6 linked regions of the Macaca fascicularis genome follow. The protein of the gene in region 5 purifies or fractionates together with the protein of the main gene of each other region. This does not show direct contact. Links are inferred from orthologs where the notes say so. Each region holds a gene or a part of one and is shown on either strand. Other genes may lie near its edges. The genes, in order: CDK9, C1QBP, RSL1D1, RRP1B, DDX21 and DKC1.

Region 1 (4,315 bases), on a different chromosome or scaffold from region 5:
TGCCCAAGGCCACAGAATGGCTGATGGAACCAAGACTGGCGCATAGCCTGTGTGGCTCTCAAGGGCAGGCCCTGTCACCAAACCAGCCTCCCTTCCAGAGAGGAGCGCTCCCTCCATTCCACTCCCCACTCCTCTGCCGGGGGACCGGGACCCCGTACCTCAGGGGTGATGGAGCCGCAGAGCTGACTGATGAGGGCGAGTTGGTGCTGCTCCGTGTTGCCCTGCATGATGGGGCTGCGGGTCCACATCTCTGCCATGATGCACCCAGCACCCCACAGGTCAATGGGGGGGCCGTAGTCCCGCTCCCCTGGGAAGAAGAGCGCACCAGGAGGGCCCCTTGAGCCCGGAGGCCTCCTGAGACTCAATGCCCCAGGGCCGGCAGCTCAAGAAGCCCTGGCAGTGGGGGGGCGGGGGCCAGGTAGATGCCTGGCCCTCACCCCCCTCGGCCCGCTCGGGAGTCCTCACCGAGCAACAGCTCCGGGGGCCGGTACCAGAGTGTCACCACACGGTTGGTGTAGCGGTTGGGCTGGCTGTTCTTAGCCAGGCTGAAGGCCCGGGCCAGCCCAAAGTCTGCCAGCTTCAGGACCCCGTCACGAGTGATAAGCACGTTAGCAGCCTTCATGTCCCTATGCAGGATCTGCAAGAAGGGCAAGAGTGGCTCCTTCAGTGATATCCACCCGGGAGTGGGAGCCAAGGCCAGCCCAAGCCTGGGTCCTCCTCCCAGCTCTCGCCCCCACCTTGTTCCTGTGGATATAGTAGAGGCCGTTAAGGAGCATCTGCATCACCCTCTTGATCTCAGACAGCGTGAACTTGACCAAAACATTGCTCAACAGCCCAGCAAGGTCATGCTCGCAGAAGTCGAACACCAGGTATATACTGCCCTTGCAGCGGTTATAGGGTGAAGCTGAGGCAGGAATACAAGGAAGAAAAAGTCAAGAAAGCCACACCCAACACACTTTCCCACAACCAGTTTCTTTCTTCCTGCTCCAACCCATGGGCACCCAAGCCCTCCAGAGCATCTGTCTGTTCCTTCCTTCACTGGTCAAATATTTTCTGAGTGCCTCTTCTGGGCCAGGGCAGACCCCGAGGAAGCACCAGCTACGATGAAAGAGGACCAGAGAAAGCAGTCACCATGGGTCCATCTGAGTTAAGAGGAGGCAGTTTAGGTGGGTCTAGTTCCAACTTTACGAACAAAACCTTAGGCTACAAGTGTCATCTCCTCATAAGATCCAAACAACTTACCTTTGGTTCGACAAATCTCAATCAAGTTGACCACATTCTCATGTTTTAGAAGTTGAAGGATCTTGATCTCCCGCAAGGCGGTAATGGGGAACTGGGTGGGAGAGAGGGGAAAGTGGTCAAGAGTGAGCGCAGTACAGAGCCCAGCCCTGGGGTCTATATTGAGAGGCAAGTTGGGAGACAGAGCAAGATCATGGGCTCTGAAACCAGCTGTCTCAGAAGCTCTGCCTGTAAAATGGATATAGTAGGAGCATGCACACTTCAAGGAGATAATTTGAGACAACAAACTGAAACAGCAATACTTTGCTATTAGCCACTAAATGCTCGGCGGTTTCAGCCTTCAAACTTCAGCTCTATGGCTGTTTCGTTGGCAACAAACATGACGATTCAAAAATGTCCTCGCTAAAGCACATCAGGAAAAGGAAGGTTTATGGGACGTTGTACTTGAGCTAAGATGGGGTGGAGGGACCGCTCCTTTTAAACACATTAAATAACTGAGTATTAGTCACTTTTCAAAAATTTGCATGCATATGTATCTTTCTTTAACATTAAGCAAAATTTAACACTAAAAAAAGGTGTTTAAAGGCTTCCTAACTTCGTGAACTAAAGTGCACACGATGCATGCATCAACTCCCCCTCCCGGTCTCACCCATAACTGCCTAAGAATGAAGCATTTAGTTTTAGGGTGGAGGCCAAATTCCCTGGAAATTTCTGAACTACTACGAAAAAAATTAAATCTCAACCTGAGACTCCTAGAAGCAGCAGGGTGGAAAACCGACCCGGGGTCCTGGGCAGTTAGACGGCTGGCCCGCACGCCCGATCCGTACTCACCCCCTCCTTCTCGTTTTCCATCAGCACCTTCTTCAGAGCCACCTTCTGGCCGGTCTTGCGGTGCCTGGCCTTAAACACCTCCCTGCAGGCGGAAAGGGAGACCCGAGAGCTCATCAGGCGATTTCCGCAGGGCCCGCCCCTCCCCCACTACCGGAGGAGGGGCAGCAGCAAAAAGATTCCCGGGCGGGGCTGGGGTAAGTACCCAGGGCACGCGGCTACCCCGCCACCCGGCACCCTGTCTCGTTCGGAGCTTCTGCTTCCTTCTCTCAGTCCCTTCTCCTCACTTGGGCGTCTCTTGGAGAGATCCCGTTCCCCTCACGGGCGCCTCTCTGCAGCCCCTCCCCGCCCCCACCACCGGCCTCAGGCTCCTCCCCACCAGCCGGCTCCTTCAGGCCGGGGCGGGGTGCGGCGCGGCCTAAAGACCAGTGGGCAAGCCCGGGGACAGACGGTTTCTCTACCAACTCGGGCGGGGCCCGGGGCATCCCGACGTCCGCCCTAGGGGTGCAGGCCCACGGCTCCCGGCCCCGAGGGGCCCAGCCTTACCCGAAGGTGCCTTGGCCGATCTTGGCGAGCTTCTCGTATTTGGAAACTTCATCACAAAAGGGGCACTCCACCGAGTCGTACTGCTTTGCCATGGCCGCCTCCAACGCGCCGCCGCCGCCCCCAGCCGCTGCTGCTGCCGCTCCCGCTCCGGGTCCCGCCGCCGCCGCGCTCCAGGCCCCTCCGCGGCCGCGCCACTTCCGCCTCCACGGCCACTTCCGGCCTCGCGGCGCCGACCCCGCCTCTTCCGCCCGCCGCCCGCCGCCAGGCCCCCTGGGACTTGTAGTTCCCGAGAGGCCAGGGGGAGCCGGAGCTGCAGAGGCGCCTCCGCCGCCGCCGCTGCCCCCGCCTCCGCCGCCGCCACTACTGGCGGCGGCCCCGATCGGGGGCGCGGGGAGCCGGGGCGCCGGAGCTGGGGCTCGGGGTGGCGCGTCCCGCTGCATGGGCCCGGGCCGCCGCTGCTGCCGAAGCTGCTGCCGCTCTGGCGCCCGATCCGGGGCCAGCCGCAGTGCCCTGCTCCTCCTCCTCCGACGGCGCCGCCTCCGCCGGGCTGCGCGGGGCGGCGGGCGGGGGGGCAGCCCCCGAGCCGCGGCCTGGGGGCTCCCTGGCCGGGCCCGGGCCCGGGGCGGCCGGGCGAGGGGGCGAGACGGGAAGAGCCGACTAGGAGACGGCCCGAGAGCCCGGGAGGGGGCGCGTTATAAAGGGGGAGGTGCCCGGCCTCGCCTTCCCCTCCTCCTCCGCCCGCCCCCGCCCTCCTCCCTCCCACCCTCCGCGGCCGCACCTGCCGCCGCCGCCACCGCCCGCCCGCCCGCCCGCTCGCTGTCCGCCGGCCGCCCTCGGCGCGTCACCGCCCGCGGCCCCTCCTCCGCCTTCGGAGGTGGGGCCCCGCGCTCGGCACCTGGCTGCGGGCGCCCAGCCGCGTGCCTCAGTTTACCCCCACATGCCGGCTGCCGCGGAGAGCCCCTTCCTCCCCGGCTCGGAGTGCCCCCCCAAGAGGCGAAGGCGGGAGGCGCGGAGGGAGCGTCCTCCGGCCCTGGGAGGAGAAAACGGCCCCCGCCTCCGCCTCCCCCGGTCCCCGCCACCCTCCGTTGACATGGCAACCGACGGCCGCCAGGGGGCGCGGCGGCACTGGAGGCGACGAGCAAGCAACGCCCGGGCCTTCTATCGCTGGAGCCTGGCTCTCCAGGAGGCAGGGATGGGACCCGCAGGACTCGCGCCTTCGCCGAGTCGCGCCAGAGCTGATCAGGCCCCGGGTCAATAATCGCAAAAAACAGCTACCATTTTCTCAGCACTCTTTGTGTGCTCAGGAAGTGCTGGGCGTTCCCGCCGAATCCTGAATCAACAGCCCCATAGTCAGGATCACTAACCCATTTTGCAGAAGAGGACATTGAGGCTCAGAGGTGAGGTCATTTGCCCAAGGTCACACGGCGACAAAGCTGGGTGTCTGACTGTGAAGGGGATTCTCTTGACTCAGGCTATCCGTGGTTGGGCCAGGAGGAGAGCACTGGGGAGGCTTGCTGTCCTTATGCAGGCGGGAGCTCACCACTCACCCCCCCATCTCCCTCCCCCATCGCGCCCATCCCTTCGCCTGCATCTTCCTGGCTCCAGCGGCCCCCAGATTCCCCCTCCAGCTCTGCCCAAGGACAGCCTCCGGCAAAGCCGTCTTTTCTGCCTCCTTTGCCCCGCTTCAATCTGCCCCCTCCTC
Region 2 (4,225 bases), on a different chromosome or scaffold from region 5:
TTTTTATGGAAGCTTCTGGACCTATCTAAATGATACAAGCCGGCTTCTTGTCCCCAGAAAAATGATGTTCCATTAGAACTTGGATGCAGGGTCGGAGGTGCAGAGAGGGAAGGTCACAGAAATTACTCATGGATCCTGCCCTTCAGGATGTCACAGTCTGGTTGGGTTTAACCCGGTTAAAACCAGCAATGCCAGGAGGTTTCTGTTGAAGAGAATGAAGCCTAAGGGCTGGGTGCGCACAAGCATGAGTTCTAAGCCGATGGAAAAAAGGAGGTTCTAGGAAGGCCTCTTTCAGGAAAACCCTGACCTCTTCCTTTGCTCTTACAACAATCAGCACAGAAGAGTTCTGTGACCAAAGGTTTGGGTTTTTTCCCTCCACACTAAGCAGCAGACACCAGCGGGGTGTCCTCCAATTCAATCCCAACATTATCTACCTGGAGACAGTGTCAGATCCCATGAGACAGTGTCAGATCCCATAGGTTGAGGGCTCAGTCCCCAAGACCGCCCCGACCTTCAGACAGCAATGGCAAGTCTGGGCCTCTGAAACTTCCGACCAGCCCGCTTCAAGTGGGGGTTCCCACGACCCCCCTCTTTGGGTTGTATTAACTCACTGGAGCAGCTCACAGAACTCAGGGAAACACTTTTACCGGTTTCATATAAAGGATATTACCAAGGATACAGATGAGGAGATGAGCAGGGTGGGCAGTGGGGAAGAAGCTCCGATCTTCCTCGCCGTCCCTGGGCCACCACCCTCCAGGAACCTCCACGTATTCAGCTATCAGAGGCTCTGCAAACCCTGTCCTCATGGGTTTTTATGGAAGCTTCTGGACATCAGCATCCCTTCCCCCAGGGCATAGGGTGGGACCTTCTCTGGGAAGGGACTTAAGACCCATAATCAGAAATGTGGGAGATTAGAGTCCTGCATTGGGGCGGGTGAAAGGAGGGCGGGAGAAGGGGAGAGTGAGAGTCTGTTTCCTGAGGCCTAACACACCCAACATTATCACAGAACACTGTAACGAGGGCTATGGGAGTTACGACCCAGGAACTGGGGATGAAAACCAATAAATACATAATATAACACCACAGCCTCCTAGAGGAAAGTGACCGTGTAAGGGGCTGGTGAGAGCTGGGGGAAGACAAGAGTGCATTCCACACAGCCCAAAAGCCTGGCGTGCCTTGAAAACAGTAGGTGGAAGCGGCCACTAGAAAGAATTAAACAGCTTCGGACAGAGGACTCAGGCCAGCGCAGCAAGAAGGCTCCGGAAACCGGATTCGAGGCTTCCCGGGCTGCACCGGAGGCCTCCAGCAGAAGGCGCGATTCCGCCTGGGGCCTTAGGTCCTCAGTGCGCCGGCGCGGGAAGCGCTTCCGGGCAAGGGCGGGGCTTCCGGCGGCGCTTTAGGTCGCGGGGTACTTGGGCCTGGATTGTCCTTTGCATCTGCACGTGTTCGCAGTGGATTGCGCGATGCTACCTCTGCTGCGCTGCGTGCCTCGTGTGCTGGGCTCCGCCGTCCCCAGCCTCCGCGCTGCCGCGCCCGCCTCGCCTTTCCGGCAGCTCCTGCAGCCGGCGCCCCGGCTGTGCGCCCGGCCCTTCGGGCTGCTCAGCGTGCGCGCAGGTTCCGAGCGGCGGCCGGGCCTCCTGCGGCCTCGAGGACCCTGCGCCTGTGGCTGTGGCTGCGGCTTGCTGCACACTGAAGGTGAGGTTCGCGCACGCGGGCCAGGGGTGTGGTTTGCGGTTCACGGAGGGGAAAAGACCAGGAGTGGGGCCTGCAACCGACCTCCGAGGTCTGGGACATTTTTCCATTGATTGGCAACCAGCGGGTTAAACCCACGTGTGATCATATTCCCCCCACCTCCCCTATCCACCAGTTTCATTTTCTGTTGGTAGGGGGGTGAATAAAATTAAATACTAGAGGGTACCTTCATCCTTAGTCTTATTCTCTCGAAAGTGGACTTTTGGGAAAGCCCAAGGTCGTGTTTGAAAATAGCATACGATACAACTATCGTTTGGCAAGTGGAAGAGGATGATCGGAAATTCTTCTGCTTTATAGCGGAAAGTGGTAATGCGTTCATTGTTGGAAATCACTTTTCCAGCATCAGGCTCAGCTTCCCACTAATATTATGGTATTTTTACAGATAAGGAAACTGAGGCTTCTAGAGTAACTGTAATAGCAGAGAGATTAGAAATAGTCCAGGTTTCTGGCTGCGATAACCAGGGTAATAGTTTTATGTTTTAGACTAACTGGCTTTCCTTTTTATGTATATGGATTTCTTTTCTAGGAGACAAAGCTTTTGTTGATTTCCTGAAGGATGAAATTGAGGAGGAAAGAAAAATCCAGAAGCATAAAACCCTCCCTAAGATGTCTGGAGGTTGGGAGCTGGAACTGAATGGGACAGAAGCGAAATTAGTGCGGAAAGTTGCCGGGGAAAAGTAAGTACTGGTCTGGGGATCCCAGGGCACCGACTCCCTTAACCTTGCAAGACCCGTCCTGGGTCATCCCTAGAAGAGCCTTGAGTTCAGGTGTGGATAAATGGTTTTCAAGAGAGTGAAGGATTCAATTGGACAGCTTCATAAGGTCCAGGCAGTCCATTCACTGAACACAAATTTGCTGTGGGCTGGTTACTAAGGAGACAAAAATGTAGCGCAAAAAAGTACTGACAGAATCTGTTTGATCTCTGATTTACAGCGCTGATACAGTAGCACCCTGCTCTCTCTAATGTTTAGCTTGGGTGAAAATGCAAGGCATGTAACTTATATGTAACAGGATGGGGTTCCACTGTAGTAAGGGCTGCCATCAGAGGCGGGGAGTTTGTGACCTAAGTCAGGTGCCCCACCTTCTCCTAAACTGTTAGTGTTTACACTTTTCTGCATTATAGTCATCCATAATCTCATTACACAGATAGACATTTGTCATCTTCCAGATTTTTAAATTGAGGCTGGGTGCAGTGGCTCACGCCTATAATCCCAGCACTTTGGGAGGCAGAGACGGCAGATCATGAGGTCAGGAGATCGAGAACATCCTGGCTAACACTGAAACCCTGTCTCTACTAAAAATTTTAACAGGGTGTGGTGGCAAGCACCTGTAGTCCCAGCTACTCAGGAGGCTGAGGCAGGAGAATCGCTTGAACCCCCGGGTTTCAGTGAGCCGAGATGGCGCCACTGTACTCCAGCCTGAGGGACAGAGCAAGACTCCATCTCAAAAAAATAATAAATAAATAAATAAATTGAATTTTCTTTATAATTGACCTTATGATGTATATGTAATTCTTTTTTAAAATCACAGCTTTAATGTGATTTAATTTATATGGCATAAAATTTACCCATTTATTGAAGTTTATTAAATTAAGTGGTTCTTAGTCCTCACAGAATTATGCATCGGTTACCACTACCTAATTCTAGAACATTGTTGTCAATCCCCAAACAATACCTATTAGCAGTCACTCATTATTCCTCCCTCTAGCCACCCCAGGTAATCACTAAGCTACTTTATGGATTGCCTCTTTTGGACATTTCATATAAATGGAATCATACAATTTGTAGCTTCCTCCCCACCCCACGGAGTCTTGCTATTACCCAGGATGGAGTGCAGTGGCACGATCTTGGCTCACTGCAGCCTCTGCCTCCCGGATTCGGACAATTCTCCTGCTTCAGCCTCCTGAGTAGCTGAGATTACAGGCATGCGTCCAGTTAATTTTTGTATTTTTAGTAGAGATGGGGTTTCGCCATGTTGGCCAGGCTGGTCTCAAACTCCTGACATCGTGATCCGCCCTCCTCGGTCTCCCAGAGTGCTGTGATTACAGGTGTGAGCCACCCTGCCCAGCCTGTTTACATTTTTAATTGTTGGGTTGTAAGAGTTCTTTAGTTTTGACCGGGCACGGTGGCTCACACCTTTAATCCCAGCACTTTGGGAGGCCGAGGCAGGTGGATCACAAGGTCAGGAGATCAAGACCATCCTGGGTAATGCAGTGAAACCCTGTCTCTACTAAAAGTACAAAAAATTAGCCAGGTGTAGTGGCGGGCGCCTGTAGTCCCAGCTACTCAGGAGGCTGAGGCAGGAGAATGGCATGAAGCCCAGAGGCAGAGGTTGCAGTGAGCCGAGATCACGTCACTGCACTCCAGCCTGGGCGACAGAGTGAGACTCTGTCTCAAAAAAAAAAAGAATTCTTTAGTTTTTCTGGGTATAGTGATCTTACCAAATTAATGATTTGCAAGTATTGTTCCCCATC
Region 3 (2,699 bases), on a different chromosome or scaffold from region 5:
TGAAATCTTGTTATATTGCCCAGACTGGTCTTACACTTCTAGGGTCAAAACAGTCATCCCACCCCGGCCTGCCAAAGTGCTGAGATGACAAGTGTGAGTCACCACACCTAGCCCCAACCAGTTGGCTTTTTTTTTTTTTTTTTTTTTTTGCTTTGGTTTTTTTTGAGGATGGAGCCTCAATCTGTCACCCAGGCTGGAGTGCAGTGGTGTGATCTCAGCTCACTGCAACCTCTGCCTCCCTGGTTCAAGCAATTCTCCTTCCTCAGCCTGCCAAGTAGCTGGGATTATAGGCGTATACCACCACACCCAGCTAATTTTTGTGTTTTTAGTAGAGACGGGGTTTTGCACGTTGACTAGGCTTGTCTCGAACTCCTGGCCTCATGTGATCCGCCCGCCTCAGCCTCCCAGAGTGCTGGGATTACAGGCATGAACCACCGCACCCAGCCACCAGTTGGCTTTTACACAGAGAATTTGGGAACCCCTGCCCTACACCATGTGCCAGGGATGTGCAGCTACAGTTGGAGGACTCAGGATTTGCTCCCATGTGTGTCTGCTGTGCTCCTCATGGTGCTTCCAGGAGTCTCTCCCCTCAGTCGTAGGGAAAGGTGGTTTTCCTCTGACTGGACCAGGAAGACCTCTGGGTCTTCACAATTCTTTTTTTTTTTTTTTTTTTTTGAGACAAGGTCTCACTTTGTTGCCCAGGCTGGAGTGCAGTGGCATGATCTCGGCTCACAGCAGCCTCCACCTTTCAGGCCCAAGCAATTCTCATGCCTCAGCCTCTTGAGTAGCTGGGATTACAGATAAGTGCCACCATGCCCGGCTACTTTTTGTATTTTTAGTAGAGACGGGGTTTCACCATGTTGACCAGCCTGCTCTTGAACTCTTGGCCTGAAGTGATCCACCTGCCTCAGCCTCCCATAGTGCTGCGATTACAGACATGAGCCACTGCACCTATCCCTCATTCTTAATAGTGAAATACAGCTTATCTCTGTCATCATACTGAGGTGTACCTTTTGGGGGTTAACTAATAAAAACAGTACCTTGGCCATGTGCTGAAAAAGAGTAACTTGGCCGGGCACAGTGGCTCACGCCTGTAATATAGCACTTTAGGAGGCCAAGGCAAGTGGATCACCTTAGGTCAGGCGTTCGAGACCAACCTGGCCAACATAGTGAAACCCTGTTTCTACTAAAAATAAAAAAAATGAGCAGGGCGTGGTGGCACGTGCCTATAATCCCAGCTACTCGGGAGGTGGAGGTTGCAGTGAGCTGAGATGGTGCCATTGCACTCTAGCATGGGCAGCAAGAGCGAAACTCCGTCTCAAAAATAATAAAAATAAAAACAGTAACTCCTGGAGTTAGAGTGTCAGGTGTTGTGGCTTTTTCTGTATTAAACTTTCTTTTTTTTTTCCTAGATTCAAAAACATGCCACAGGAAAGAAGTCTCCAACAAAGAGTCCTAATCCCAGTACACCTCGTGGGAAGAAAAGAAAGGCCTTGCCAGCATCTGAGACCCCAAAAGCTGCAGAGACCCCAGGGAAAGGCCCAGGGAAGAAGCAAAAGATCAAAGAAGAGGCAGTGAAGGAAAAAAATCCTTCACTGGGGAAAAAAGATGTGAGACAGACTCCAAAAAAGCCAGGGGCCAGGTTCTTCACCACTCTTAGTAAATCTGTGAGAAAAGCTTCCCACACCCCCAAAAAATGGCCCAAAAAACCCAAAGTACCCCAGTCGGCCTAAAGTCAGTGATTCAGCCGGAAGGAAACTTCAGTGCTGCCTCCAGAGCTTCTTAGAAATACTCAGCTCTTGACCCTCTTTATAAGTAACCTTCTGCAAACGTCAGGCCTGGACTTCGATTTTTTAAAACCTCCATAAGTAGTCCAGGCACGGTGCCTCATGCCTGTAATCCTAGCACTTCAGGAGGTCGAGGCGGGTGGATCATAAGGTCAAGAGATTGAGACCATCCTGGCCAACATGGTGAAACTCCATCTCTACTAAAAATACAAAAATTAATTTGGCATGGTGGCGAGCGCCTGTAACCCCAGCTACTAGGGAGGCTGAGGCAGGAGAATTGCCTGATCCTGGGAGGCAGAGGTTGCAGTGAGCCGAGATTGAGCCACTGCACTCCAGCCTGATGACAGAACGAGACTCCATCTCAAAAATAAATAAAAATAATAAAACCTCCATAAATAATTTTGACACATGTTCCTGGGTATAATAATATATTTTTAAATTGTCCTTCTGTGTATTTGCTAATACAATAGAGGAAAAATAGAGTGCTTCTCTGTGGTGGTTCAGCACTTTGGGAAGCCAAGGTGGGAGGATTGCTTGAGCCCAGGAGTTTAGGACTATCCTGGGCAACTTGGTGAAACCCCATCTCTACAAAAGAAAAAAAAATAGTGTGGCATGGTGGTGTGCACCTGTGCTCTCAGGCTGAGGTGGAAGGATCAAGTGAGCACAAGAGGTCGAGGCTACAGTGAGCCACCATCACCCCACTGTGCTCCAGCCTGGGTGACTGTGAGATTCCGTCTCAGAAAAAAGTATAACGTTGCTTTGCTTCTGAGTAGACACACTGTTGGCTTTCCAAATCACGTGGGTCTGACTGGAGGTCTGGGATGTCACCCATCACATACATTTGTGGTCATCCCCAAAGTGGCCCAGTGAGGGCCTCACTGTATGAGAATACAGCTACAGAATTCAGGAGAA
Region 4 (3,626 bases), on a different chromosome or scaffold from region 5:
TTCTGCAGCTAAACAAGACACCGTCCAGCTCCAAGAAAGTCACCTTCGGGCTGAACAGAAACATGACTGCAGGTAAGTGGGTTTTGCCGGCGGCAGGTTTCTCTGGAGCACAGCTGCGGCTCCTGGCGAGGCTCGCAGCCTGGTTCCACAGGCGCTGAGGAGAGAGGTGGGGTCCGAGCTCCTCACTGCCCATTTCTTTTTTTTTTTTGAGACAGAGTCTCACCGCTCTGTCAACCAGGCTGCAGTGCAGTGGCAAGATCTTGGCTCACTGCAACCTCCGTCCCCCGCCGGGTTCAAGCGATTCTCCTGCCTCAGCCTGCCAGGTAGCTGGAATCACAGGCGCATGCCATCACGCCCAGCTAATTTTTGTCTTTTTTCACCATGTCGGCCGGGCTGGTCTCAAACTCCTGACCTCAGGTGATCCGCCTGCCTCAGCCTCCTAAAGAGCTGGGATTACAGACATCAGCCACCGAGCCCACCCCTCACTGCCCATTTCTGAGTCAGAAGGAAGCACCTGTGTGTCCCTCGTCCTCAAAGGGCTGTGAGTGGGGTGCCAATGGTGAGCGGGCAGCCAGTTGCCTGGGACCTCTTAAGAGAGGCTACCCGGAGAGACGTGATCCAAAAAGCCGTTCTCCCAAGTGTCTTTCTAAATACTGAAAGCCGTCCCACAGAGAGGCCATTTGAGATTGTAGTGGTCCATCAGCTGTAGCTGTCTCTCTGAGAAACTTCGGAACAACTTGCTTCCTGGGGGACGGAGAAGGGTAACCCCTATCTTGATACTTTTCATATCGGTGCCATCCATTCGAGTTGCTTTTACAAAGGAAACCAAAGTTTTAAAAAGTATTATAGGCCAGGCGCAGTGGCTCATGCCCGTAATCCTAGCACTTTGGGACGCCAAGGTGGGCGGATCACGAGGTCAGGAGTTCCAGACCAGCCTGGCCAACATGGTGAAACCCCATCTCTACTAAAAATATAAAAATTAGCTGGGCGTCGTGGCAAGAGCCTGTAGTCCCAGCTACTCAAGAGGCTGAGGCAGGAGAATTGCTTGAACCCAGGAGACAGAGGTTGCAGTGAGCCGAGATCATGCCACTGCACTCCAGCCTGGGTGACAGACTGGGTGAGACTCCATCATCGCAAAAAAAAAAAAAAAGGTATTATAACGAGTTTAGGACCTGACTCTTGTTGGGAACTGCAAATAATTGTGTGTGTGTGTATGTGTGAGTGTGTGTACATGTGCCAGTATGTGTGTGTGTGCGTGTGCATGCACAAGTGTGAGCGTGTATGTTTAGGGAAAAGAGACTCTCAGAGAGCCTGAGGAGCTCACCTAGCCTTTACAACTGGATGAGCAGGACGAATCCTGCCCTCCACATAGCAGATTCGTCCCAGACTCAAATGCCTAGTTCACTCATTGTCCAAAACACCCCCACCCTCAATGTTCACCCTTCCAGGAGCCACCCTACCAGCAGCTCCGCTTGGTCTGTACAGGCGGCCTTGGGAGGGTGAGTTGAGGCAGGGGACATGGCCTCACTGCCCTCCTTCCCTCAGAAGGCTCCCAGGCCTGCTGTCTGCAGGGCCTTGAGATGGCCCTGCTTCGTCCTAGCAAATGGGCAGGGTTGGCACCCAGGCAGGACACTGTCCGAGCTGTTGGAGGGACAGCTGTTGGACCTGCTTAACATGGGGCCTTGCTCTCATTTGGGACAGAATTCAAGAAGACAGACAAGAGTATCTTGGTCAGTCCCACGGGCCCTTCCCGAGTGGCCTTCGACCCTGAGCAGAGGCCCCTCCACGGGGTGCTGAAGACCCCCGCCAGCTCACCGGCCAGCTCGCCCCTGGTGGCCAAGAAGCCCTTGACCGCCACACCGAGGAGACGGCCCAGGGCTGTGGATTTCTTCTGAGGGGCAGCAGAGTCCCTTGTAAAAGACTGCTTTTGTACAGAATACGCTATAAATTATACCTTTCCGAATGTGGGGCCTTTTTTATGGTTTTCTACGTTCCCCTAAGTTGTGTGCACGAGGTTCTGAACGTGCCCGCGGGCTGCTGCGTCCTGGCCCCTCTGTAGCGGCTGCGGGCGTCTTGGTTGAATCTTTTGCTACAAACCATGTTTGTGTTCGAGCTCTCCAGGATGTTACATTTTTGGGTAACCTCAGTGATTCCCGTTGGTGTGGGAAGTGAGACCCTCCCTGAAGCTGAGGAGAGCGCGTTGGTCGGAACTTTAAATCAGTCAGTGCTGTTGGTACATGAGAGGTGGAATTGCACTTCCTGTTGAGCTCCCAGTTCTGCGGAATTTGGTCCTCATTCCTGTATTTGCTGTACTAAGTTGGTTTCTGTTAGTCTGAACAATCTGTTTTCTTTTCAAAGCATGTGGGGCTTGATTGCCATGTTCTGTGGGTGTTCGGCAGGTTACCGATGGGAAGATTCTTGTCACAGAATCAGCAATACCATAGTTTTTCTACATGTGCTCAGCTGGGGGTGTGGACAGGTAGGGGTGAGGAAAGAAGAGGCTCTGTGTTCGGGGGGCTTTTTCTTCTCCTCCCCGCTACCCGGTTTCCCTCCCTGTTTTCCTACCTCTACGGCAAGCCCAAAGTGTCTTCTCGGGAGGCCAGCGCAGCCCCCAGCTCTTACCCAGGACCCCGCCCCGTGCTGAGCCCTCTGCTGAGGTCCTCGCGTGGAGCACACTCATTCCTCCAAGCCCTTGCGTCTCTCTCTCTCTCCGTCCACGTTCCAGCCGAGTCACTGCCTGACCGGCTCCAGGGCAGCTCCCCATCTTCCCTGGAGGCTGCCGTGCGTATCTGGAGCCTGCGCTCCCGCTCCGCGACCTTTCCTCTCAAACGCGGAAGCGAGCGCTTAAGAGTTTAGACAATTCTCCTGTAAATTCGTGACAAACACGGGCGGAAGGCACTCAGGCTTTCGTTGGGGAAACAGAAATGAGGCCTTCTTTTGAGCAGCGATTGCTCGATCTGTTTGAGAAAGCGTCTGACCTGGGCCTGAGAGCTGGAGAAGCTGCAGATTCAGAGTGAGCGGCTGCGGAGGAGAGCCGCCAAGGCTGCGCGCCTTCTCCATGCTCCCGCAGCTCCCGCAGCTCCCGCAGCTCCCGCCTGCGCAGCAAGAGGGCACGGGCGCACGGTTTGGGCTGGCATGCTGCTCTCCCAGCCAGCCGCGCTCTGCTCAGGCCTGGAGGTGAAAGCCGCCTGCCTCCCGTTATGCGCCCCATACAGGAGTCCTGGTTTTTCACCAAAAGCCGGCCAGTCCCCTTCACTGCTGCCTCCCAGCAGAGGGCCCCAGGTTCTCCAAGGTCCCAGCTATGGCTTTGGACAACGTGGCTTCAGTCCCTGGGGTTGCAGAGCTGCATTGGGTTTACCTCGGTCTCATTCGCTCACGGAGCCAAGGGCGGGTTTCACCTGGGAACATCAGACTGACTTGCTGGCGTCAAGAGCAGTTGACTCACTGATGAAGGCCCTGGTGAGAAGAAAGCACTCACTCTGTTCTTCGCCTACTCTGTAATCGTTTTGTCATGATGAGCCATGAAAAAATTAACTTGTGCTGTTAAATCGTCACTGTAATGAGGTCTTACGTACGACATACCTGTGGTGGCTGCATGGTTTAATAGCTGCATTGGATAGGATCCT
Region 5 (4,370 bases):
GAGGATCGTTTGAGTCTGGGAGGTTGAGGCTGCAATGAGCTGTGATCACACCATTGCACTCCACTCAAGCCTGGGCAATAGAAGGAGAACCTGTCTCAAAAAAATGAAATAAAGACTGGGCGCTGTGGCTCATGCCTATAATTCCAGCACTTTGGAAGGCTGAGGCGGGCGGGTGGATCACCTGAAGTCAGGAGTTCGAGACCAGCCTGGCAAAGATGGTGAAACCCCATCTCTACTAAAAATAGAAAAATTAGCTGGGTGTGGTGGCGAAGGCCTGTAATCCCAGCTACTAGGGAGGCTGAAGGATGAGAATCGTGGAGGTTGCAATGAGCTGAGATCGCACCACTTCACTCCGGCTTGAGCAACAGAGCTAGACTCCGTCTCAAAAAAAAAAAAAGGCTGATTGTCAATGTCAGGTATTCTATGATTCTAACCCATTTTTGAAATTTATTTTTTCATATATATATTATATATATAATATTATATATTTATATATGTATATATAAAGACATAGGGGTTTTGCTATGTCGCCCAGGCTGGTCTTGAAGTCCTGGCTTCTTTGGAGGCTGAGGCAGGAGATTCGCTTGCGCCTGGGAGGCAGAGGTTGCAGTGAGCCCAGGTCGCGCCATGGCACTCTCTAGCCTGGGTGACAGAGAAGGATACTCTTGTCTCAAACCACAAGACTTCTCTCTCTCCCGCTAGTCTATAAAGCTTCTTGAGGATAAGGCTTTTGTGTCTGCTAGTGAATCCTAGCCCTGTTTGTCCTACCTGACACAGTGAACGCTCATAAAATGTTTGAGTGCACGCATGAATGACCGACTAGAACCGACTGAATTTTTTTTTCCTTCAGGCTCCTGAGTCTGGCCGACACTTTCAGAGTAGACGTTTCCAAGAGATGATTAAGAATACACATCTGCGCCGGGCGCGGTGGCTCACGCCTGTAATCCCAGCACTTTGGGAGGCCGAGGCGGGCGGATCACAAGGTCAGGAGATCGAGACCACGGTGAAACCCCGTCTCTACTAAAAATACAAAAACAATTAGCCGGGCGCGATTGTGGGCGCCTGTAGTCCCAGCTACTCGGGAGGCTGAGGCAGGAGAATGGCGTGAACCCGGGAGGCGGAGCTTGCAGTGAGCCGAGATCGCGCCACTGCACTCCAGCCTGGGCGACAGAGCGAGACTCCGTCTCAAAAAAAAAAAAAAAAAAAAAAAAAAGAATACACATCCGCGAGTCTGCACGTGCAAACTCGAACAATATAACATAAAGCACTGAAGATGCTCCACTCAAAAGCAACTAGAAGCCTTCATTTTTCAGGCTGGGGCTAGGGGAAATCTGGCCAGTGTTGGAGAATACAAAGCTAACCTTTGTAATTCCTTGCGGTTTTACCGTTCCATAGGTGCCTTCTAGACCAAAGGCCGCCAGTGGTCAGTCAATGCACTAAATTTAGCCACAGTCACAGGCCGTTGCTTTGAATTTACCTCGCGGAGAGCAGTCTTTCCTGTGCTTCCTGCTTTCCCCGGAAGTGCCTTGCTACGGGAAGTGACGAGAGCCGGGTGGACAGAGGCGGGGGAACTACCTCTTCCTCTCCACGCGGTTGAGAAGACTGGTTGACCTGGGCAGCCTGCGCTGAAGATGCCGGGAAAACTCCGTAGTGACGCTGGTTTGGAATCAGACACCGCAATGAAAAAAGGGGAGACACTGCGAAAACAAACCGAGAAGGTGAAACGGAGGGACCTGGGGCCAGGAGGGACGCTGAGTGGAGCGGAACCCCGGGGTGCGGGAGAGGTGCCCGGGCTGGGATCGTGAGAGCGCGCGGCGGGTAACAGCGCGTCCAGAGACCCGGCGTGGGTCTTGACGGGCGGTCGTCCAGGAGTGGTGCGCTCCCAGGCAGTGGATGCGTCTGCCCGACCAAGCCGGGGCCGCCGCGCGCTGACCTCTTCCTCTGAGATTAGAGGCATCCACATTGTTCCAGGAACTCTGGTAGAGAGGCCCTATTGGAGCTCGGGAGAAGGCCGGGTGTCCCACGTGGTCCCCGGCGACTGGGCGCGCCTCACACAGTGCGCAGAGTTGGACATTCAGTCAGGCTCCACGTTGCTGGCTGAGACATAACTCCCGGCTTGAGCGTGCGCGAAGGGAATTACAAGTCAAGTCAAAGTGGGGACTGGAGGCAGGATGCGGTGGCTCATGCCTGTAATTCCAACACTTTGGGAGGCCGAGGCGGGCGGATCATGAGGTCAGGAGTTCGAGACCAGGCTGGCCAACATAGTGAAACCCCGTCTCGACTAAAAATACAAAAATTAGCCGGGCATGGTGGCTCACGCCAGTAGTCCCAGCTACGCGGGAGGCTGAGGCCGGAGAATTGCGTGAACCCGGGAAGCGGAGGTTGTGGTGAGCCGAGATCGCGCCACTGCAAGTCAACCTGGGCAACAGCGAAACTCCGTCTCAAAAAAAAAAAGTGGGGACTGGAGCTTTAGAGTAGACTGGAGATATCTTAACCTCATCTGCGCACGTGGGCGGCGTCTTTAGTGACTTTTTAAACTCTAGTAAGGGAAGTACAGTTTGTTTTCCGGTAAGCCGCCCTGAGAAGATGACGTAACTCAGTTCTTCTTAGTATTATATTGACTAGATTTCCCATGGAAATGTAAAGGCATGTGTTGCGGTGCTGAGTGTACACCATGTTTTTTTATATAGGCCAGCAGTGTGCAGTAGTCTTAACCTTGACAGCCGTCCCTTGCTTTGCTGTTGCTTCCTAGTGATTTAACTTGTGACTGAGTCTCTGTTCTGAGATAAGTCAGTGGGAAGAAAGATTGTTCTTGGACTTAGGTTGTACACTACTTAGAATGAACTTTACTTGTTTGTTTCCCTGCCTTTTGATATGGAGCTCTTACAATAGCAATATTTTAGAATCGTAGGAAGCCGCGGCAGATTTGTACTCAGGTGCAAGAAGTAGTGGTCCTGGTTTACATCGCATCAGTCAGTTGCTTTCAATTTGGCATGCTCAAATCCAGAGATACATGACCAAACTCTGTTATATTCCAAAAGAGACCACCAGGATGGGAAACTTGGTCTTATTTGGTGGAACCAAGGGATGAAAACGAATAAAATTTTGGAAGGAGACTAGCTTGTTTTTTGTTGGCAAGGAGATTATTTTTAATCTATGATTTGAGAACAGAGACCAGGCCTGACGTTTCCAGGAGGCAGAATTCAGTGTAATATGTATTTCCAAGATTGTTCTGGGGCTCTGCCAGAATAGGTTTCTAAGGAGGCTACAACATGTGTCTAATTGCTTTCAATAGTATGAAAAGTTGTAGGGGGTCAGAAAGTTCAAATAGGAGCCACAGTCATCTGTCTTACTTGGTTCTGAGGTGTCACTCCTTCCATATTCTTGTAACTTATTTATTTTATTTTAAATTAAGTACATCTTTTTTACACAAGGGTGATAGACTGAGTTTTTATAACTTTTTGTTTCATAAAGTGTCTCTTTTATTTTATTTATTATTTGTTATTTTTTTTTGAGATCGAGTTTTGCTTTCGTTGCCCAGGCTTGTTCTCCATTGGTCAGGCTGGTCTTAAACTCCCAACCTCAGGTGATCCGATCGCCCACCTCGGCCTCCCAAAGTGCTGGGATTATAGGCATGAGCCACCGCGTCCTGCCCTTTTATTTTTTGTAGAGACAGTCTTACTGTCACCCAAACTAGAGTGCAGTGGCATGATTATAGCTAACTGCAGCCTTGAATTCCAGGGCTCAAGCAATCCTCCCACCTCAGCCTCCTAAGTAGCTAGGAGTATAGGTGTGTGCCGCTACGTCTGGCTAATTTAAATTTTTTTTTTTTTTTTGAGACAGTCTTGCTGTGTCGCCCAGGCTGGAGTGCAGTGGCGCGATCTCAGCTCACTGCAACCCCTGCCTCCCGGGTTCAAGCAACTCTCCTGCCTCAGCCTCCCAAGTAGCTGGGACTACAGGTGCATGACCATGCGTGGCTAATTTTTTTTGTATTTTTAATAGAGACGAGATTTCACTGTATTAAGCCAGGGTGGTCTCCTTCTCCTGACCTTGTGATTCGCCCTCATTGGCCTCCCAAAGTCCTGAGATTACAGGCGTGAGCCACCATGCCCAGCCTAATTTTTAAAGTTTTTCAATAGAGAAAGGGTCTTGCTATATTGCCCATGCTTGCCTGTAACTGCTGGCCTCAAACAATCCTCATGCCTTGGCCTCCCAGAGTGCTGGGATTACAGGCATGAACCACTGCACCTGGCCCTAAACTGTCTTTATATAAATTAATTTGCTCTTGTGAGATAGGCAAAGTGCAGAATTCCTGTTTTGGAGTTAAAGGCTGCAGTGAGCTATGATGATGCCTCTGTACCACAACCTGG
Region 6 (3,626 bases), on a different chromosome or scaffold from region 5:
AGTATTTATTACAGCGTATACACATACAAAATATGCAAACATCTGTACAAGATTTGAATATAAATAATTACCAACTACAAACATTTTAAATATCCAGAAATTTTTATCCCTCAAGTTAGAGAAAAGAGAGTATGCTTTAATTTATAAAAGGCCAACTCTCTGATCATCATAAAAACACAGCTCACAGCCTTGATCTCCTGGGCTCAAGCGATTCTCCCACTTCAGCCTCCCAAGTAGATGGGAATATAGACATGTGCCACTACACCTGGCTATTTTTTATTTTTGTGACGACAGGGTCTTACTATGTTGCTCAGGCTGGTCTCAAACTCCTTCCTGGGCTCAAGTGATCCTCTTGTCTTAGCCTGCCAAAGTGCTGGGATTACAGGCATCAGCCACTGTGCCCAGCCTAATGTGCCTTATTTTTAAGTATTCCTACCATTAAACTTTTACTTTAAATTAGTATACTTGGTTTGGACTTGAAAAAATAAATAAATAAAACCCAAGGAAAACAATAAAAAGAGCAAGCCTCATCTTTGGAGTATGTTCTGTCCAAATATAAACTCCTAACCCGGAACTTACTGCACTGTCTTTCATAACCAGCCGTTTATGAGATGTCAACAACTTTTCCAAAGGGTAAACAACTCGCCGCAGGTAACTCTCATCCTTGTGGTTATCATATAGCCACTGAGCATCAAGCACATCGTGCATTGTCACCATGTGGTCCTGAAAAGCAGCCATGTATGAAAATAATTCAGTTTTTTTGCATCTCGGCCCATCAGATCCCAAACTTCCTAAAACTGAATGTAACTTGTCTACTAGTCCAAGCTCATTATGTCTTCAGCCTCTTCAGTCCTGGCTCTTCCAGGCATCTTTAACCACTGAAGTATTAGATCCCAAGCAGGCATTTTTGTAGGCTGGGAGGCAAATGAATAGAATAATACTTCCTACCCAATCATCTCCCTTAGTCCATTTTAATGTCCCAAAGTTTAATTAACAGAACAGGGAAGCTGCCCTGGACTGAACTCAACACTTTGGAAAGCGCCTTTCCCACAACATGAAGCAAGTGGAGTGCCACCAAAGGCTGGCAGATGTTAAGAACAAGCTCTAAAACTTCTAGCCCCGTAACACATACCTTTTCACTCATGACTCCAGAACGAACCCTCCGAAGCTCCTGCATCTGACCACCAACTCCCAATAACAAACCAAGGTGCACACATAATGTCCGAATGTAGGTGCCGGCCTCACAACTCACCCAAAAGATTCCTAAGATATACACACAAAAGAAAAGCAGCACCTACTATAAATACATCACTGGTTGAGAAATGGTTAACCTTCATCTGAGCCATCAAGACTAGAGGTGACAGACAGAGGGCATGACTGACACAATATGCCAAGGGCAACCACTTCTTAAAATATAAGCATTTGTTGTATTTAAAGATCTGTAATTCTGATATTAACAGAATTTTTAACACTTAGTTGCAGGTATATTCAGCATGGTATGTTTCATGGATGGGCGGAAAATAGGCATTGTCTTAAATTTACTTCTGACAACTTAATCTGAGCAGCCCTGCTAAGTATTGCTATGTTTAAAAGAAAAGTACAATCCAACTGTTTATTGTTGCTTTTTGCCATTTGGTAGCATTTTACACGTAGGCTTCAATCTGGAGAATACTCTGGATTCAACAGAAAAACCTTTTAAATGATGTTTTGTACAACAGAAACTTCTAAGCAGTCAAAATTGCAACAAGTAAAAAACACATGCAAAACATACTTTGCTGAAAACACCTTTGAACAAAGCACCGAACTACACAAATGCAGAATGAAAATATTTCAATTCCAGCAGAAGCAGTCATCATAAAAAGTACAAAAGCCATCTCACTTTACTAGGCACTGTTCACTTTTTAACAAAAGATAATAAAAACTATTGCCCACAGACAATATCCCAGCTGTAGCGCAGGTTTCAGAAAGTCTTCAACTTCAAGGGCATCTACTTTTAACAAGAGAACAGAATCCTGAAGAATGTGTTCATACCCACTCACAGACCTAATGACCCACCTAATCTTCTTTCAGGATCGTATTCAATCATTTTGCTCTCGTAGATGGTCCTCACTCGGAGCTGCCTCTTTACTGCAGCAATAAGTGGGGGTCGCTGGAATAGGGCACCTGTCAGAGTTTCTAGGGCCTAAGAACAAACACAAAGCAAAACAAACACCCTCATCAGAATGTAAATGTGCAGTCACTGGTCCAGGCTGGCTGTGGCAGCTGACTGAAAAGGGCACAAAAGGAGTCAGCCAGGACAGCTAACCCATCTCCAGATGTTTAGGGGCTCAGAGATCCAAATCAACAAAGGGTGTCCTCCCTACAATTGCAGACTTACCCTAGAAAGCTGGGTCCCCCCTTCAATAGCATTGTGCAGCCGGACAATCCCCACATACTCTTTGCCTGAAAAATGACAAGAGTAGTCAGGTTTGGCCACTGAGTTTTCTGTTTTTCATATTTCTTATATGCTCAGTCACTCCCATTTTGCACAACAGGAAAAGCAGGCAGCTTGACCTTGTGTTTCTATAAAATCTGCATGAAGACAGATTTCATGGTGATGATGTAGGAAAGAATGAAGATACTCTCTCACTGGGAATTCAATGTACTAACAGGGACAGTTGGGAGTACCAGTGTAGAACCTGCCTGGAAAAAGCCTTGCAAGATAAGCAGGCTTTTCTCAGATAAAAATGAAGGAAGGATACTTTAGGCAGAAGCAGTGGCACAGAGTGAGAAGCCTAGAGTGACAAGCTGAGAGCTGAACCTGGACAGAGTTCTGCCTCCAGGCTACAAATGGATCCCGTCAGCTTGATGAATACATGCTTAGTATGTGGAATTCCAAAAAGGGTGGACCACCAAGATCTGGCAGGGGACAGAAGGTACACAGAAACCGACAGTATCTCTGCTTTAGGATTTTTTTTTTCCCTAACGAAGAAATAGTTTCCAGCAGACAAAACATAGAAGGGAAATAACAGAAAGCTTTCCACTCTAGCCAGTCCTTCCCTCCCTCTCCCAAATACCTGCACTCTGTTGTGACTTCACCAAGCGAGTGGCTCGTTCTATGCACACGATTAAACAACCAGTCACCTTGGGATCCAGAGTACCACTGTGCCCTGTCTTCTCCACCCTAAGTATCCGTCGAATCCAGGCTACCACCTCATGGGAAGAAGGGTTAGAGGGCTTGTCAAGATTAATGAAACCTGTCCTAGAATGAAAAAAAAAAATTAATGTATAACCCACTCCTGTGCGCCAATGAAACAACACATCTAGAGTTAAAAGAAAAAGAATTCACTGTGGGTACAGGTTATATATTCAAGACAAAGCTATTCTGGCATGTCACTGCCTTCTTGAATAGCTAGTGTGAAAGCATTTTCAAAAGAAAGTAAGTTTGCACAGTGCCTCCTCCCAACACTTACCTGATATAGTCCCCAATCTCTCTCTTCAGAGGATTTGAACCACATGCAAGAGGTGTATAGTGTGTTGTCCTTACATTCAGCTTATCAAAATTCTACAAAGCAACGACACAACACAAAACAAAATACCATGTCGTGAGCACATGTAAAAAAAGAGTCAGTACCACTATGTGGCCC

What was found.
Region 1: the proteins of DDX21 (region 5) and CDK9 purify together in Homo sapiens (affinity purification with mass spectrometry; 3 studies listed by BioGRID and IntAct, with this or other methods). This does not show direct contact. The link is inferred for Macaca fascicularis from reciprocal best matches to the Homo sapiens genes DDX21 and CDK9.
Region 2: the proteins of DDX21 (region 5) and C1QBP purify together in Homo sapiens (co-immunoprecipitation; 3 studies listed by BioGRID and IntAct, with this or other methods). This does not show direct contact. The link is inferred for Macaca fascicularis from reciprocal best matches to the Homo sapiens genes DDX21 and C1QBP.
Region 3: the proteins of DDX21 (region 5) and RSL1D1 purify together in Homo sapiens (affinity purification with mass spectrometry; 3 studies listed by BioGRID and IntAct, with this or other methods). This does not show direct contact. The link is inferred for Macaca fascicularis from reciprocal best matches to the Homo sapiens genes DDX21 and RSL1D1.
Region 4: the proteins of DDX21 (region 5) and RRP1B purify together in Homo sapiens (affinity purification with mass spectrometry; 3 studies listed by BioGRID and IntAct, with this or other methods). This does not show direct contact. The link is inferred for Macaca fascicularis from reciprocal best matches to the Homo sapiens genes DDX21 and RRP1B.
Region 6: the proteins of DDX21 (region 5) and DKC1 purify together in Homo sapiens (co-immunoprecipitation; 3 studies listed by BioGRID and IntAct, with this or other methods). This does not show direct contact. The link is inferred for Macaca fascicularis from reciprocal best matches to the Homo sapiens genes DDX21 and DKC1.

What each region holds. Positions count from the first base shown.
Region 1 is NC_088389.1:16,211,059-16,215,373, forward strand, and holds the start of CDK9 (cyclin-dependent kinase 9), read right to left. Parts: upstream 2,821-4,315; 5' UTR 2,706-2,820; coding exon 2,614-2,705; intron 2,153-2,613; coding exon 2,071-2,152; intron 1,334-2,070; coding exon 1,243-1,333; intron 905-1,242; coding exon 738-904; intron 638-737; coding exon 466-637; intron 308-465; coding exon 159-307; intron 1-158. UniProt on the Homo sapiens protein: Protein kinase involved in the regulation of transcription.
Region 2 is NC_088390.1:5,502,424-5,506,648, reverse strand, and holds the start of C1QBP (complement component 1 Q subcomponent-binding protein, mitochondrial), read left to right. Parts: upstream 1-1,368; 5' UTR 1,369-1,463; coding exon 1,464-1,695; intron 1,696-2,278; coding exon 2,279-2,429; intron 2,430-4,225.
Region 3 is NC_088394.1:12,521,585-12,524,283, reverse strand, and holds the end of RSL1D1 (ribosomal L1 domain-containing protein 1), read left to right. Parts: intron 1-1,412; coding exon 1,413-1,733; 3' UTR 1,734-2,183; downstream 2,184-2,699. UniProt on the Homo sapiens protein: Regulates cellular senescence through inhibition of PTEN translation. Acts as a pro-apoptotic regulator in response to DNA damage.
Region 4 is NC_088377.1:3,386,338-3,389,963, reverse strand, and holds part of RRP1B (ribosomal RNA processing protein 1 homolog B), read left to right. Parts: intron 1-8; coding exon 9-72; intron 73-1,701; coding exon 1,702-1,895; 3' UTR 1,896-3,626. UniProt on the Homo sapiens protein: Positively regulates DNA damage-induced apoptosis by acting as a transcriptional coactivator of proapoptotic target genes of the transcriptional activator E2F1.
Region 5 is NC_088383.1:77,478,969-77,483,338, reverse strand, and holds the start of DDX21 (nucleolar RNA helicase 2), read left to right. Parts: upstream 1-1,558; 5' UTR 1,559-1,631; coding exon 1,632-1,718; intron 1,719-4,370.
Region 6 is NC_088395.1:160,877,211-160,880,836, reverse strand, and holds part of DKC1 (H/ACA ribonucleoprotein complex subunit DKC1), read right to left. Parts: intron 3,545-3,626; coding exon 3,453-3,544; intron 3,242-3,452; coding exon 3,057-3,241; intron 2,443-3,056; coding exon 2,378-2,442; intron 2,183-2,377; coding exon 2,056-2,182; intron 1,264-2,055; coding exon 1,133-1,263; intron 1,038-1,132; exon of another isoform or gene 906-1,037; intron 724-905; coding exon 580-723; intron 1-579.